2 linked regions of the Lytechinus pictus genome follow. The protein of the gene in region 2 interacts with the protein of the main gene of each other region in a biochemical or structural test. Links are inferred from orthologs where the notes say so. Each region holds a gene or a part of one and is shown on either strand. Other genes may lie near its edges.

What was found.
Region 1: the proteins of probable global transcription activator SNF2L2 (region 2) and SWI/SNF complex subunit SMARCC2-like form a complex in vitro, tested with the Drosophila melanogaster proteins (2 studies listed by BioGRID, with this or other methods). The link is inferred for Lytechinus pictus from reciprocal best matches to the Drosophila melanogaster genes brm and mor.

The regions. Positions count from the first base shown.
Region 1 is NC_087247.1:25,342,704-25,351,303, forward strand, and holds the start of SWI/SNF complex subunit SMARCC2-like, read right to left. Parts: upstream 5,379-8,600; 5' UTR 5,326-5,378; coding exon 5,158-5,325; intron 797-5,157; coding exon 677-796; intron 1-676.
Region 2 is NC_087255.1:22,751,466-22,760,065, reverse strand, and holds the start of probable global transcription activator SNF2L2, read right to left. Parts: upstream 5,592-8,600; 5' UTR 5,500-5,591; intron 905-5,499; 5' UTR 897-904; coding exon 761-896; intron 1-760. Other genes in the region: Fanconi anemia group C protein-like, read left to right, coding at 7,813-7,992. UniProt on the Drosophila melanogaster protein: Transcriptional regulator. Acts as a coactivator, assisting one or more dedicated transcriptional activators of ANTC and BXC homeotic gene clusters. Can counteract the repressive effect of Polycomb protein.

The DNA of each region.
Region 1 (8,600 bases), on a different chromosome or scaffold from region 2:
ACCTTTGACCTTGATCATGTGACCTGAAACTTGCACAGGATGTTCAGTAATACTTGATTACTATTATGTCCAAGTTTCATGAATCAGATCCATAAACTTTCAAAGTTATGATGGTAATTCAACAGATACCCCCAATTCGGCCAAAGTTCATTGACCCTAAATGACCTTTGACCTTGGTCATGTGACGTGAAACTCATGCAGGATGTTCAGTGATACTTGATTAACCTTATGTATAAGTTTCATGAACTAGGTCCATATATTTTCTAAGTTATGATGACATTTCAAAAACTTAACCTTAGGTTAAGATTTTGATGTTGATTCCCCCAACATGGTCTAAGTTCATTGACCCTAAATGACCTTTGACCTTGGTCATGTGACATGAAACTCAGGCAGGATGTTCAGTAATACTTGATTAACCTTATGGCCAAGTTTCATGAACTAGGTCCATATACTTTCTAAGTTATGCTGTCATTTCAAAAACTTAACCTCAGGTTAAGATTTGGTGTTGACGCCGCCGCCGCCGTCGCCGTCGGAAAAGCGGCGCCTATAGTCTCACTCTGCTATGCAGGTGAGACAAAAATGATTGATAAGACAGAGGCACAAGATTTTTCTTATCATTATTCTTGGCAGAAAGTCAGAAATACTAAATAGGTAAAATTAGATTTGATTTACTTACAGGTACTCTGGTCAGAGGAGGGTTGCTGACATGTCTCCCAAAGGCATCTTCCTGGAACTGTATAAGCTGAGCGAGCATACTTGCAATGCTCTTATTGGTGGGAGGCTCAGCCTGGATCCACTGGAAGACAAAAAATACATTAAAACATAAAACATTTCCACCTCACCCTGAAGTTTCTTGATAACACTTTTACATTGCAAGTATGTTGTGCTAAAAACAGATTGTCTATCATAAAGTACCCCTACATGCAGTTCAAAATCTCTTTTTCAAGATTTGCCATCTTCACATAGACTTGTAATGAAACCCAATATTAACACATTATTAAACTAGCACGCTAGGTTAGGGTTGACATTTGACAGCTGAAGGAATTTTCCTTTATTTTTTTTATCCAGAGAAATCCTTTTAACAAACAAAATCCTAGAAGACAGGAAGATCCTCTATTTCAAACCGACGACCAGGTACTTTCCACTTACATTTAGAAGTTTGTACACTTACATTGTATGAACAAGTAATTTCTAAATGATTCGGCCCCTAAAGGAATCAAGAGATGATGGCTACATATTAGTTTATATGCCAAGTTTGAAGCAATCCTTGAATTGACACGAATCCCACTTAAAATATTGAAAAAATAGAGAGAGAGAGAGGTAGATCTATGGAATTTCTATAGACAAAAAGGACAAAGCCTTAGACACTAGAGGAGCAAAATGAATGAAAGACTATCTCCATTATGCGAGACAAATCTCTAATATTGGAGACTTGCTCTGGAAAAGGATAAAAGAAACATCAACAACATCATAAATTATACCTGCCATCTTATGCTTGTGGTCTAGTATTAAATTGTCAGGTCAGAGCTCTACGTTGTACTGATATACATGTAATTGCATTGGTTTGAATCCAGCTCTTGTTGGCTAGTAATTCTTTCAGTAATAAATTGATAATAGCATTTACTCCGTTGAAGAAACTAGATGCGACATTATTTGTATTATAATTATAATTATCAAGCCAGGGTGCTCCTACCCCGGACGGCTCGAAGTGGGCCGGAGCCCAGAAGGTAACCATAGGCTGCCACTGGTAACAAATGCTAACATGGGTACCTTTGAGGTTGGTGTGCCCAAAACACCAAAAATTACAGAAAAAAAAATCATGCACCCACATCAATTCTAAGGATGGAGGTCTAATGGACAGCAGAATCCTAACATCAAGGCAGTAACCTTACCCTCGAAAAAGGGGGGAAAAGGCAGTGTTCTTTCACTCGCTTTCAAAATTGCAAACAAACCTGGCTGATCGATATACCGAGGGCGCATGCGCGAATTGGCCTGCCTTTTCCCCCCTTTTCGAGGGTCTGGCTACTGCCTTGTTGTAAGGATTCTGCTGTCTGTTAGACCTTCATCCATAAAATTGAGGTGGGTGCATGATTTTTTTTTATTTTGGGTGTTTTTGGTACCCCAACCTCGATGATACCCATGTTAGTATTTGTTACCTGTGGCAGCCTATGGTTACCTTCTGGACTCCGGCCCGCAAAGCGGGCCAGAGCACTGTGGGTTAGGGTGCTCCACAAAGTAATGTATACAGTAATAACTGTAATGTGATAACATATCATGAATTATATCAATAAGATTATCTTTTTTGTTTACAAATTTGTAAACAAATTATAATTTTCTCCTATTAAAGCTGTTTCATTTACAAGATTATCTTTCCATTCAAAAAACAGATATGTCATGAATCTTTATCAATTTTGAGATTATTTGATAACATATCATACAACACAGTCAGTAGAGGCGCACGGCCAATATAGGAGACTGTCTCCTATGAGAGAGATTCTCTAAATAAAAATGTGATAAGCAGATTCCTCATGAAAAATTACCCATTTTCACCGTCTACTTTAAAAATTCACCGTCTACTTTTGTTTTGATAAGGATTTTTGTTGTCATCCACACACAAAACAAATGGGCTTCTGACCTCAGTGAGACAAAATTCTGGGTGGAAAAAATTACGCTTTTGTTGGTGTCGTTTCTTTTGTTCTTTTACAAAGCAAGTCTCCCATATTGGAGAGTCTCCCGGCATTGGCCGTGCGCCTCTACTGACAGTATGCTCCGGGAACAAGCATGTACACATAAAATATTATACATCATATTGATATGATTATGTTTCCACCTCAAAACTGTTTGCCGATCTTTATGAATCTTTTGAGACTAAATATAAGGAATGTGATTTTCTATTTACTGGTAAATAAAAATGGAAAATTTGTCTTGGTTCTTTATTTGTCATGAGAAAATTCAATATATTTACACAATGTACCTTGGCTACAAAATGCTTTGCATGTTTTCTACAGTATAATGAAACAGAATTTCCCTTAGAGATTAACTCATCTGTTCATTAAGCAGTAGAAGTGCACGGCCAATATGGAAGACTGTCTCCCATGAGAGAGATTATCTCCAATATCAGAGACTTTTGTAAAGAATTTGGGTATCCAATTTCAGAGACAGTCTCCAGTTTGGGAGACCAATTTCCTTTGTTTACATTTGCTGCAAAAGGATTACCTTGGCGGCAAATAAAAATGTGATAAGCAGATTCCTCATGAAAAATTACCCCTTTTCACCGTCTACTTTAAAAATTCACCATCTACTTTTGTTTTGATAAGGATTTTTGTTGTCATCAACACACAAAACAAATGGGCTTCTGACCTCAGCGAGACAAAATTTTTGATGGAAAAAAATATGCTTTTGTTGGTGTTGTTTCTTTTGTTCTTTTGTAAAGCAAGTTTCCAATATGGGAGATTGTCTCCCCTATTGGATAGAGTCTCCCATATTGGCCGTGCGCCTCTACTGTTAAGTTTGAAACGGAATTACAAATTTTCAGAAACAGAAAAGATCATTAAAAAAAACAGAACACTGTAACTACCATTATTATGTCTATTATTACATATTATTCCAGGGCACTCTGTCTTTTCGAAGACCATGTTACACCCTAAATTTTATTATCAATCATGTTTCCATCTCAAAATCTTCATTCATTTCTGCCGACAACTGACAAGTATACTAGTACTACTCAAGTACTATTATTACATTCGCTCCATCCAAATAATATGTCAACATCTTCTTTAGACCAAAAGCTTCAGTCTCTGTATTTTGGTTGTTCCGCTGAACTACGTTGGCTCCACTCACCATACATAGACTGAAGGGGATGGGGCCCCGTACCTACAGCCAACGTATAGTGAACTAGCGTTTTATAGATCGCGATTTAAAACTGTTTTTTAAGCAAAATTGAAAGTTTCATGGTTTCCATTATCAGGGAAATATAAAAAACTTAAGTAATTGCATACCTTGGGCCGGAGTTATTGAAAAAAATCCTCTGGATGATTGAGAAATCTGTCATCTAAGACATTTTCACCTGACCTGACGGTTTTTCTTGCAAGTTGCCATCTTGAATGACGTCATTATCGTTATTAACTTAATGTCTCGAATCGATATATCGCGATTATAACTAGTACTAGTACTAGTATAAGTAGTATCGTTTATCTTCGGTTTCGTTCGCATATGGAGCAGATCGTATAATATCGAAAGCAATATCGATATCACATTCGTGATTGTTGACGTTCGTTTGTAAATATTTTATAGTGTGGCTGCCATTTTGACCATTTTTATCGTGTTCAACCCAATTAAACATCGGTAAAGTATATTTTTCATGCCTTTTTCATCTATATCGTTTAAAGTATTTAAACATTTAAATATCAACTTTTAAAAGTTTGTTGTTTATACATCCTTAGATTGTAAATTCGATGTGTAAAATTACATCAAACTTTGGACTGTGAATTGACAAAAGGGAGGGAATGAGAACACATGCGAGCCCACACGTACACCCTACCGTCGGTAAATGGGGATTACAGTAAAATGTCAGAAATTGTTGAATAAATCCCCAGAAACGACGGTTATTCCTGTCTACATCTTCTTGTGCACACAGCTGCCAACAAATTCCCTTTTTTTTTTTTATCAATGTCAGATCTATTCTAGCCTGTTAACAGAAAATTAACAATATCTTTTTTTGCTGATTCAATTTTGATTGTTTGAAATTGAATCACTGACTTGTGACTTTGTCTTTGTGTTGAATTTGAACTGCGGAATCTAACTATATTTTTCACATTAAATAAAAGACAGAGACACAACATAGGAATAGATGAGAGAATGAATTACAATTCCTCTTGATACATTTAGCTGAAAATGACCGCAAATGTCAGCTATGTTGGAAAACTCGCCATAAAATAAAGACTCGGTCTCGGGTTCAGCTTAGCCTTACTAGGGCTCCAGGCAAGCCCAGGCACAGGCCTTGGCTCCGGGGCGCTGCCGCCATGGCCGCGGCGCGGCGAAGCAAGTAGAATTCGCAGCCGCACACGAATTATCTCAGACTCGGAAAAGGTACGGTAGTTTGATCGAGCATTATATTGACTGTAATATGACAATTTCTGGCCCCTAAACAATACTCACCCTCTTGCAATTTCTTTGAAGCCATGATTTCACATTATCAAGCTGGGAAGCAATGTCAGCGGACTCAAAAAACTTGAAATCAGCACCACCGTCCTTCTTTCGGATAGCCATCTTTTGTCTTTCTCGTCTTTTGTACACCCGCAATAATTGAACGAAACTGTCGTTCATTTTTGAGCGGCATGGAGCTGGTGGTCAAGTTTTGCGTTGCCAATTTTATTACTAACAGGTATTTTAAAATGATTGCTGCTCGCATGCCAGTAAATCAAAAAAGTAAAATAACAAAGGATAGCCTTATTCTTAATTGTAACAGAGAAAAATTTATTACATTCAAACATGACAAATCTTCAATGTAGATCTTCATAAAAGTTGAGGAACTCGGTAGGCCTATAGCAAGAAAAATGTGGAGCAGATCGGCCCCGAGATCGGCCTACTGAAAAGACAATTGTCAGCATAGGCGGATCCAGGGGGGGGGGGGGGGCCCAAGGGGCCCGGCCCCCCCCCTATTGGCGGAGCAAAAAAAAAGGAAAGAAAGAAAAAACAGGGGGAAAAGGAGGGAAAAGAGGAGAAAAAGAAGAGGATTAAGATGAGTTGATAAAATAAGATGAGGGGAAGACTTAATTGGAAAAAGCTTTCATGTCACTCATGGTATAAAAATTTCGCTCGCGCTTCGCGCTCGCATTGCCTGTTAGGTGATTTTCATATCTTGTTCAATATGAAGTTTAAAAATCAAGTTTGGAAGTCAATATACAAAACATATTTCACCTCGGAAATCGAACTTTCATTATTTTGTGTGATTTACAAATTGTTTTTAAAAAGTGCTTTGTAAAGATGTCAGTTTTATGGTCTAAAATATTAACATTTTCTGCTCGTGCTGCGCGCTCGCAAATTTTGATTTATCAGGTACCTATTATTTTTGTGTATTCCATTAAATTTTCAAAATATTCTTTTCAGGTCTGAAAGTCAAAACGTATCAGCTAGCGCTGCACGCTCGCATTTTGATCGGCGAGTTATGTATATGTCGCAATATTGATTATACAACAAACTATACTTTAAATCCCCTTTTCATGACAGTTCATCAAAAACTTTGGCTCGCGATTTGTGCTCGCATTAATGGTTAAAATATATTAACTTGATGCATCTTATTTATAATTACACAAGTGCTTGAAATGTCCAGTTTTCAGGCCATAATATCATCAGATTTTGCGTCCTCAGGCGTTAATGAATAAGACATTAATTTAATGATTAAATTGTCCATTTTGTTTCATCTCGCACTTAGCAAGAGGAATAGGAAGACAGTTATCATTTTGATATGCATTTCCTAAGGATGTCCCGGTCCTATGTTAAAACTCAAAGTAATAATAATTAAAATATCAGCTCTTTATTAAGTGCGATCCATATCCACCTCACAATTTTCCTACAAAGTGCTTGAAATATAGAGCTGAAATTGACTGTTTTTTCAGATCGGAATATTAAATAGTTTAAACTCGCGCTTCGCGCTCGCTTTGATTTTCATAATAAAAGATGTATTAAGAATGCCTAGATTCAATATCTAAATATGAAACACGCGCGCGTATTCAGATAGTCAACTTGTTCTCTATTTAAATCATTATCCAGTTTCAGATCACCGTAAATATCAAAAATTTTCTGCTCACGCTTTGTGCTCGCATTATTAATGTAGGTAGACCCCTACTCATTCTTTCATGATTTACAAAACATGAATAGTGTCCCGTTTGTAGGTCTAAATCTCGATTTTTCCGCACGCGCTTCGCGTTCACATCAATTGTTTAATTATAATCCTGTTCACGATTACAAAAATTGATTAAAATGTTACATTCTTTATGTAGAAAAGTAAAAAATTTTCAGCTCGCGCTTCGCTCTCGCATTATTTGATTGTTGAAATATGTAACGTCTTCATGCCTAAGTGCAAGCAGTCCTTAACAGGTACATTTTCGATCTGTTCAAAACGTATATAAAAAAATTCTGCTCGCGCTCTGCGCTCGCATTATTAATGTAAGGAAGATCCCCACTTGCATCCTTTTCATGATTTACAAAACCTGAATAGAGTGTCATGTTCAGTAGGTTTAAATCTCGAATTTTTCCGCTCGCGCTTCGCGTTCGCATCATTATTGTTTACTTATATACCTATTCTGTTTAAGTTACAAAAAGTGCTTCCATTTCTTAGGTAAATTTGTCATAAAATTTCAGCTTGCGCTTCGCGCTCGCATTATTTGATTTTTAAAATATGTAGCGTCTTCATGGCTAACTGCAATATTTAACAATACCTTTTCCATCAGTTCGTTTCTGCTCGCGCTTCACGGTCGTAGTAATTTTTCATTTGCATACACATCTTTTTCAGGATAACAAACATTGCCCAGAATGTTCAAGAACTTAGAAAAAAAACCCACAATATTTCCCCCAAAAAATAGCTCGCGCTTCGCGCTCGCATTGTATAAATAAGGATTATGGTATTATATATTTATGTTTATTCATAAGAATAAAGCTAAGAAGTGACTATTAGGACTACCCCTTCAAAGAAACAAAAAAATCCCGGCAAAAATCATCTTCGAGCGGCCGATCGGGGAAAATATTGCTGGAAAAAATCCGGCCCCCCCCCCTATTGGCGAAGGCTGGATCCGTCTCTGGTCAGGTTATGTTCCCCAATGTGCCAAGCCTCTAGCACTAGTAATCTAGTATATTCAAATTCTCATTAAAACATAAACTATAACCCCCTTTACAAAAATTGAAACTCAGTTGTACATAAAAATAAACACACGTACGGAACACGGCGCAATTGTGAGAGCCAGCATAGAGACCATTATGTCTATATAGTGAAGGCTCTCATATCATGGACCTATAGGTCCATGCTCATATCAAACTCCAGCAGGGGCCAGTAGGCCTATATTCAGATGTTCGAGAAGATTCATACAAGGATGTTTAGCCAAGGCAAAGTGATATGAATTATGAATTAACTTATCCGGGGGACTTATAAAAGGGATGGCCCGGGCTGAAATATTTATATCTTAATACATAGAGTAGAATTCACTGAGCAAAATGCCGAAAATTCCATCAAAAACGGATCACAAATAATAAAGTTATTGAAGTTTAAAGTTTACCAATATTTTGTGAAAATAGTCGTCATGAATATTCATTAGGTGGGCCGATGATGTCCCACTTTCTTATGTTATTACATAAAATCATAATTTTTTCATTATTTCATACTTGTGTGAATAACTTCTCCTTATAATGAAATAAGTTTCATCAATAAATATTTTATGCACTAAGTCAGTTGTCAATCCAATTTTTCTAGTTCTTGGAGGAAAAAAATTGAATAAACCTAATTTCATATAATAAAATACAAAAGAACAAGTTGGGATGTGACATCATCAGCCCACCTAATGAATATTCATGACGACTGTTTTCACAAAATATTGCTAAACTTTAAA
Region 2 (8,600 bases):
TTCAATTTTACTGTTGATCCCCATTTGCATAAAATGTTCTCATGTAATTTTGAAAATCATACTTCATCATCGATTATGAATCCTCTAGGCCTAAGAGTAAAACTTTAACAATCGATTAAATCGATAAGGTTACCAACAATCGGCAACCGAAACTACATTTGACACTAATCGAATGTTCGGCAGACGTGATTACTGATTTGAGACATTTGATTATCAAGAGTATGTGGCTGTGATTTTTGACATTTGACAACAAAGTGCAAGATTTAATGAATTTCAAACATCAAGAAACTCTTTCAAGGCACAACAGTGACCGTCATGATGGTGACCATCCACGATTCAGCTGTGTTGATGTGCATGACATGCACTGTACTGGGACACTCGACCGAGTATTCGTCCCAGGCTTAGTACCCACAATTCAATTTGTATTATTGTATTTGACTGTATTAGTTGAATGTCTTCATGGAGAATGAAATAAAACTTGGAACTTGCAATAAGGAAGTAAGAAACTGTTTATTAAACAATTCAAAAACAAAATAGACCTGAATACTACCTTAAGGAATCAAGAAAAATTTTACGAGATTAAAACCAAATTGACAATATTAACCATAAATGCACAAATGTATGTAATGTATTGTAACCCTGAACTTAACCTACAACTTCAAAATGAAACTTTGTTGTCTGTCACAAACCAAAGCTTTAATTTATATGTAGTAATCCTGATGTAAAAAAAATGGATAGAAATCAGTAAAACAGTCTTTACCTGTTCCTCCTTGATCATAGCCCTGCACTGGTCCTGTTCCTGATGGACCACTAGGTCCTGTTCCTGGGTGATTCATGTCAGAACTCATACTGTTGTCTTGTATCTGGTTTGGTGCAGGCATTGGGTCATCAGCCATTGCTCAGCCTAAACGATGGGTAATGAAACGGTATTAATGAATTACAAATCTGAACAAAGGTTTACGTGGGGTTTCCTATGTAAAAGTTTGATAAACAATAAAGGTTGTGTCTTCAATTTATACCCATATTTAATGGCATAAGCGTCATTGGAAACTGGAAGTACAGAAACATTTAGGCCTACAGTCCAAATTGAGATTAACACTTGGCTCATTAGTGTTCTCTTTGTAGCAGTCTTGATCACTGTAAAAATGCAGATAAAAAATTATAGTATTTCCAAAGATTTGAGTGCAAGAAAAGGAAAAAAAGTGATGTTGAAAAAAACATATCAAAATTATTGATAGTAATAATCAAAATCGGGATTTGCACAACAGATTCTCACCAACCAAGCAATTATTTTGGGGTTTAGAGCGCGATTTAAATAGCCGAGTTTGATCATAGTGCAAAACTTTATAGTCCGATATTTGGGGAAAAAAACAAGCTTCTGGTAGTAAGTAAATACTTTTCATTTACTAATACTATATATTTTTTGTAATCTTTTTTATGACATTGATATTCAAAATTTTAACTAAAATAATAGACTTTTAAGTTTTACTTGATTTAATGATTTTATTTTGGGGGGGGTCCAATAATGTTTACCGGTAAGTGTCCTATACATGCATGGCAAGGTCCCCTAAGTCTGTGCAGTCCCCCTTGTCTGCACACGCACGTATCTGCACGATTCTAGTAAAAAAAAGATACGCACTGACCACAAAATTTACACTTGCAATGCATACACAGATATTCATTAAAAAATCTGACTCAAAATGGTGAAAAATTCTGAATTTCAGGCATTTCAGCCTTTCACATCAAAATCCCAGAATCGTACATGCGTAAAGTGAATGGGTGCGCGGACATGGGGTACCACGACTACCACCATTTCGTTCAATCTGAAAATGACTGGATGAGGTTCTTTTGAAGAAAATTGTATATTTCTCCCAAATTTTTATGAGATTTTTTGCACTTACTCATAAGAATATAAAGGAACATTATCAACTGGAAAAAAAAATTCAGGTTTAGTTTTAAGTTACATGTAAATTTTTAGGGGGAAGACATGGCCCCCCCCCCCCAATACTTTACATGATGATTTTTTTTTCATTATTAATTCATTTTTCTAAATGTCTTAATTAATATGTTTTGCCAGTGTGAAAAATTGAGCGAATTAGGTATTTGTTTACTGAATGTTGTACTGCATGGTACATGTAAGGGCCCATAGCATAAAACATTTACAAAAAGCGTTGTCAAAGTAAATTTGTGCAGGATTTTTAGGCCATGTTTAAACTTGCGCTTGAGCAAGTGGAATCAAATATATCAATCTTCATGATCTTGATACTTCTTTTTCATCAAATTTTATTGGTTGTAACTAGATCTCATGTTAGATTAATATATTTGTTTCTTGATTATAAATTTTTCATCCAATTCAAAATTCAAATCACTCACTTGCAACTGGCACCAAATAATACCATCAATATTCACACAGAATTAATTAAAAAACAAAACTTTTACATGACAATTGCTACCTCAAGTGATGTTTGTGTAAGCTCCACTCCACTTCACTACCGCTACACTACGGCTACGCTACACCTACCCGAATATCAAGGTACATATACAAAACTCGCTCTGCTAAGGTGTCACTTTATGGGGGGAATATCAAACTCATGCAACAAAATGACCTTACAATTCATTTATAACAACTCATCTTACATGTACCACGGTACATTTCACAAAGTTTCATTTCTTTTTCATGCTTCTATCAGTTTCAAATTGGTGATTTAGAGCCAGTATCGGTTTCCTCACACATATTAATTCACTGCCGATTCCAACATCTCAAACGCAAATTGTGCATGCGCAGAAATCACAGCTCAATTCATGAATATTCATGAGTAGGACTATAGATCAAGATCTGATCATGCAAATGCGCATGCGTGCGTTCGGAACTTGTCGCTCGCATAGATTGGCCAGGATATCGATAATTCTAATGGGAAAGCCTTCATGAAAGCCTAACTCAACGAACGTATGTCAGGGCAGCAACAAATGGCTGCCAGTTTTTCCTCTCCGGCAGAAAAATTCAAAAAATAAGGAACAAATCATCGGTAACATATATTTTTGAAATTTTATTTGAAAATGCATTGTATCAAAAGAAAGATTAGAGTCTAAAGAAAATAGTGGACCATCGTTCAAGATAATATAATGTCATTTAGACCTAAAAAAAAAAAATCTTGACAAAACACTCTACTATACTTGAGGTAGCTGCTGGGCATCATTTTTAATGCCCATTTATAACATTTATTTAATGTTAGACCTAAATATGATGGTGGTCCCCAAGTCTGGGCACCTAACGATTTGAGTTAAGATTTAACATGAATTTCTTTTTATTTCACAAAATCTTTCAATTAATAATGTTCCTCACATCATTATGATTTAGTGTGCCAAATATCTCATAAAAATTTGAAAGAAATATATGATTTTCTTAGAAAAAAAAACTGGGGCAGTAATTTTCAGATTGAACAAAAAATGGTGCCCCATGTCTGCGCACCAATCACTTTGCACGCGATTCTGGGATTTGATGAGAAAGGCTGCATTTTGAGGCCGTCGCAAGAAATGCTCAAATTTCATTATTTTTCCACCATTGTGAGTCTGGTTTTGTAAAATAATTTCTGTCTATGCATTAGATGTGTGTGTTCGTTGCGTATCTTCTTTTACTAGAATCGTGCAGATACGCGTATGAACAGACAAAGGGGACTGCGCATACTTTATAGGGGAACTTGCCATACATGTACCAATTTTGCCTGTTAATTATGTCTGCCAAACTAGCGTACCATGCCACAATTCATAATGCACCGGGCTAAAACTGAAAATTTACACACAACTAGGGTGACCAGACGTCCTGTATTTCCCGGGAACATCCCATATTTTGCTCCTTTGTCCCGGCAAACCCTTCCCCGGACGCCTATTTGTCCCGTACTTCAGAATATTGAACAAAATATAGTTAATACATTTAATAATAATAACATTTCATCAAACAGATGACGAAGCAGAGACGACAATAAAATCGATAACTAAACTTTTGCAAGTTCTGCGGTGATTTTCTTGCTAACCCAATACATGCACAAACGAACTGGCCTCCTGCCTGTGTGTGGCTGGCTACTAGCTAGGCATGTAGGATCGGAGCAGATTCTCAATGGTGCAAACAATGACATGATAAACAGTTTTCCACCAAAATAATCACAAAATCAGCGGGAAATTTGTATAATTATATTATGGATTCTCAGATTGCTGATTTGGATATGTAATCGGAGGGAACAAGCTATTGAGTTTTCATAACTAGATCCAGCTGTTTCAGCTTTTGTTTTGAGTCTTGTTGCGTACATGTATGATGCGGCGATGTTTCATCTAATTTTTAAGTTGACAATGTTTCACTTTGAAATTTTATTCATTTCTAAAACATTTTAGTTTTCTAAAATTTTAAAAATATGTTAAAAAAAAAAACCAAATATCATTATGATTTTTGTTAGATGATTGGATTGTTTTTGTTCACTTGAAGTTTGAACTTTTTCCTCTTTCTTTCCTATCCTTCTTTTTTCATCCTTCTATCCTTCCTGCTTACCCTTTTTTGTTCCATCTATCTTTAATTTCCTATCTTTCTTTTCTGATCCTTTCTCTCTCTGTTCATTTTTCTTTCTTTCCTTTTTTTCTCTTACCTGCCTTCTTTAATTTCTTTTATTTCCTCTATTCTTTCTTTCCTTAAACTTTTCTTTGCTTCCTTCTCCCTTCTCCTTTTTTCTTTTCGTTCTTTCTCTCCTTCCATTATTTTCTTTTTTTCATTCTCTCCTCCCTCTTTTTCCTCCTTTCTTTCATTCTTTATTCTATTTTTCCTTCTAATTCTTTCTTTCTTTCCCTCCCTTCATTCCTGTTTTCTTCTTTCTTTATTTTTTTCTTTCAAATGAAGGAAACATTTTTCTTTCCTTCATTCTTTCTTTCTTCCTCCATTTTTCTTTCTTTCTTCCTCCATTTTTCTTACTTTTTTCTCTCCTTCTTTCACATTTAACTATTCATCTTCCCTTCCTTTCTTTTTCTTTCTTTCCATATTCAATTCAAAGTATGACGGAAACCTTATTTCTCTCTTATTCTTTCTTAGTTTCATCCTTCTTTATTCTAACTTTGTTTTATTCTTTTTTAAGTTTTTCCTTCATTTTTTCTTCCTTTCTTTTCAAGCCATTTCATCTCTTTTCTTTCATCTTTTCATTCTCTCCTTCATTCTTTCGTTCACCCTCCCAATTCTTTATATTTTTTTCACAAGTCTAACAATAACACTGTGTAGCCTTCTTTGTAATTCACAAAATCATGTCATTCAATCACACACAATTTGCCAATGCACAAGCCAAGCCAAGCTCTCGATCGGTTCCTCGTCATACAAAATTACACGACTCTTGCTTGGCCTGGACCATTTTCGAACAAGCACCACGAAAGATCCTTGTACAGTACATCCACAACATGTCTTAATTTGAATTCAAGAATAAACATAGGTATTTATCAGGTGATTTAGATATGAACAAACTCTCTTACCGATTAAAATCGACTTTTAGCTTTCGGCGACCCACTTTTATCGCACACAATACTCCGCAACAAGCCTTTTGTTCAGTGAATTTCGGAAAACTGAAGAAGCGCAGCATACATAGCATGCAGCGCATTTCGGTCGGTAATTTCCGGAAATAATCGGAATTGGTGTGATTTTCTTGCCCATCTGATGATCTGAAGAAAAAGATAAAATCCAAGATGGGGCACTGTCATTACAAGATAGACACCTCTCTCTTAGGTGATCCCTCTACTGTTTTGGAGATTCCCAGAACCAATAGAACAATCCAAATCCTGTAAGTTAGAGATTTAGCATCAAATTGGATGGAGGTCATGGAGCGGTAGTCATGAATTTTATGGAGAAAAAAAGAGAGATTTGAGGAGAAGACGATTTGTGAGTCATGCATATTTTGCCAAGTGCCAAGTGCTCCCAAACCAAAATACTTCAAATTAATTTATCTTACACAAAATTACATACATTTATAATCAGGGGCCGTGGAAGTGGGGGGGGGGGGGGTGCTGGGGGCTTCAGTATCGATAGGCGGCACGGTAGGCAATGATCTAGGCATCCTACTTTACTACCACAATAGTCTGTACTAGTAATTAGTTAATTACAGACTGCTTCTGACGAAGTCTTCATAAAGACGAAAGCTAAAGCTAAGAATGGTTTCCTGCGTCATCTTTTGAGTTGTCCTCATTTCATTATGTTTCATATACTCACACCTCAAGAGCGTTTGGTACAAGTAGTCATCACATTATATATAGGCCTGTGTATGTGTGTGTGGGTGAGTTTGTTTGTTTTGTGTGATCAAGCGCCTTTGGAACGTCAGTGATTCATGATTTTGCCCCCCCCCCCCCAATCTGAAAAATGGACCGACGCCCCTGCTGCAAACCATCTTCTACTTTGTTTGGCGAGTTAAAGATAATTAATGTGGCTAAAAAAATCCAGATCTGACAAAGGTAAAGGCATACTCCATGCTGAAAATATTCATATCTCAATAAATAGAGTAAAATTCACAGAGCAAAATGCTGAAAATTAAATAAAAATCGGATAACAAATAAACAAATTGAATTTTAAAGATTTGCATTATTCCGCGGTGAAACAGTTTTAGGCATGTCTTTATGAATATTCATGAAGTTTGTCATATCCGCACTTCTTTTGTATTTATTATTTGAAATAAGGTTACTAGTAATTTATTTTAAAATTTTCTACCAAGAACTAAATTAGTTCTTTTTGGATTGACACGATTATTAAGTGCATTAATTATACATTGCTGCAACCTATTTTGCTATAATGGAGACACATCATTTACACATGTGTGAAAAAATGAAACAATTATGATTTCATGTAATAACATAAGAAAAGGGAGAGTGGGCGAAGTGACATCATCAGCCCACCTAATGAATATTCAGGATGACGTGCATACTATTTTCACAAAATATTGCTAAATTTTAAATTTCAATAACTTTGTTATTTGTTATCCGATTTGATGAAATTTTCAGCATTTTGCTCTGTGAATTTTACTCTATTTATTTAGATATAAATATTTCAGCCCGGATATCCCTTTAAATACGACTTATTATTTATTCTCTTTTTTTTCTCTATATTTTTCAATTTTCCTTTTTTTCACTACTTGAAAATTATAGAGCCCCCCCCCCCCCCTTCCCCGATGCTTAAACCCCTCTTATTATCTTCATTTTTATTATTATCTTCATCGTGGGTGGGGAAACCGTGGGGTGTGTTTATACGAGAGCTGTATTAAAATCTTCAAATCGACATGCCAGGGGCAAACAAGTTTTATAGGTAAAACTTTACGCCCACAACAAGGTATGTTCTGCCCACTGAACTGGGAATACGTATTTCCAGTTCAGTGGTTATGCCACTGCATGACAATTAGAAAAAAAAATTAAGCGATAACTTCAGCTGGTATGACTTCTATTTCGCTTTCCAGTCGCTTTAATATGTACTTGCTCATATATTTGTCATTAAAATGCTGCAAAACAGAAATAATATAATAAATTATTTGTAATATTATAATCAGTTTATTCTTTAAGGACAACGATATTATTTATGTACCACTAAAGAAAATTAAAGTGATGGTCTCGGGGATCAGACTATCTTGTTTGTATTATATTCACGCAATAATTCCTTGAAGCTATCCTACAGGTCTGCGATAAGACTGTGCTCCTTTCTTTATTTACATTTTGTAGACGTACAAATTCATTGGTGCCCTTCATGTTATACAAATCGAAAAACTACAATCTTTCACGTGGAAATGTTGACAAACCCCATCGCTTTCAGATATGGAAATGTCAACAAATGACAAGCTTTCTAATGATAATGTTATATATTGGTTGAAAAGAGCAGAAGAATGGGTTTCAATGAAACAGAATCATCGAAGATCAACGCCAGCGCGGGAAATATCGCAAAGCAGTGAACAACTTCAAACCTTTCTCTCGGCGGTGCTCAACCGATTGATCGCAGTGAGTATTGGGAGGGAGGGATGCACAGGGATGCATGCATGTCTCGGATGTCTTGGGCTTGAGTGATGCAACTGCAAGTAACATAGCTGCCACGCCCACTCCCCACTCAAATGGCCATGGCCTGGGCATGGCGAAGTGACTATACGAGTCAAGTCAGGCAATGACAATTCAATTGCAATGCATTGCCATATAATTGCATGTATTTAATTAAGCCATAAATGATAAGAAAATGAATTTATCAAATACGTGAATCTATATTATAACTTGAAAATTTTTATTCTTGTGCGATTTCAAAGTTTTTATTTAACTGACTAGGGCCTACAATAGCTTCTCACCTGAATTATGTCTGTCAATGTTTTTCATTTTATTTCTTTATTACTTGAATCAAGTATTAAACTATTCATTTATTTTTTTGGCCTTATCGTGAAATTTGTCACCTCTCTTCTTGTGTGTGTCGGTGTGTGTGCGCTCGTTGTGTACAAAGTCAATGGGAGTGGAAAGATGTCACCCCCGCTGACGAAATAAACGGCAGTGAATGGACTGGTGACATAAACCACGATAATGCCATTTTTTTTTTATAGTAGTAGACAGTAACTCAGTAATAATTC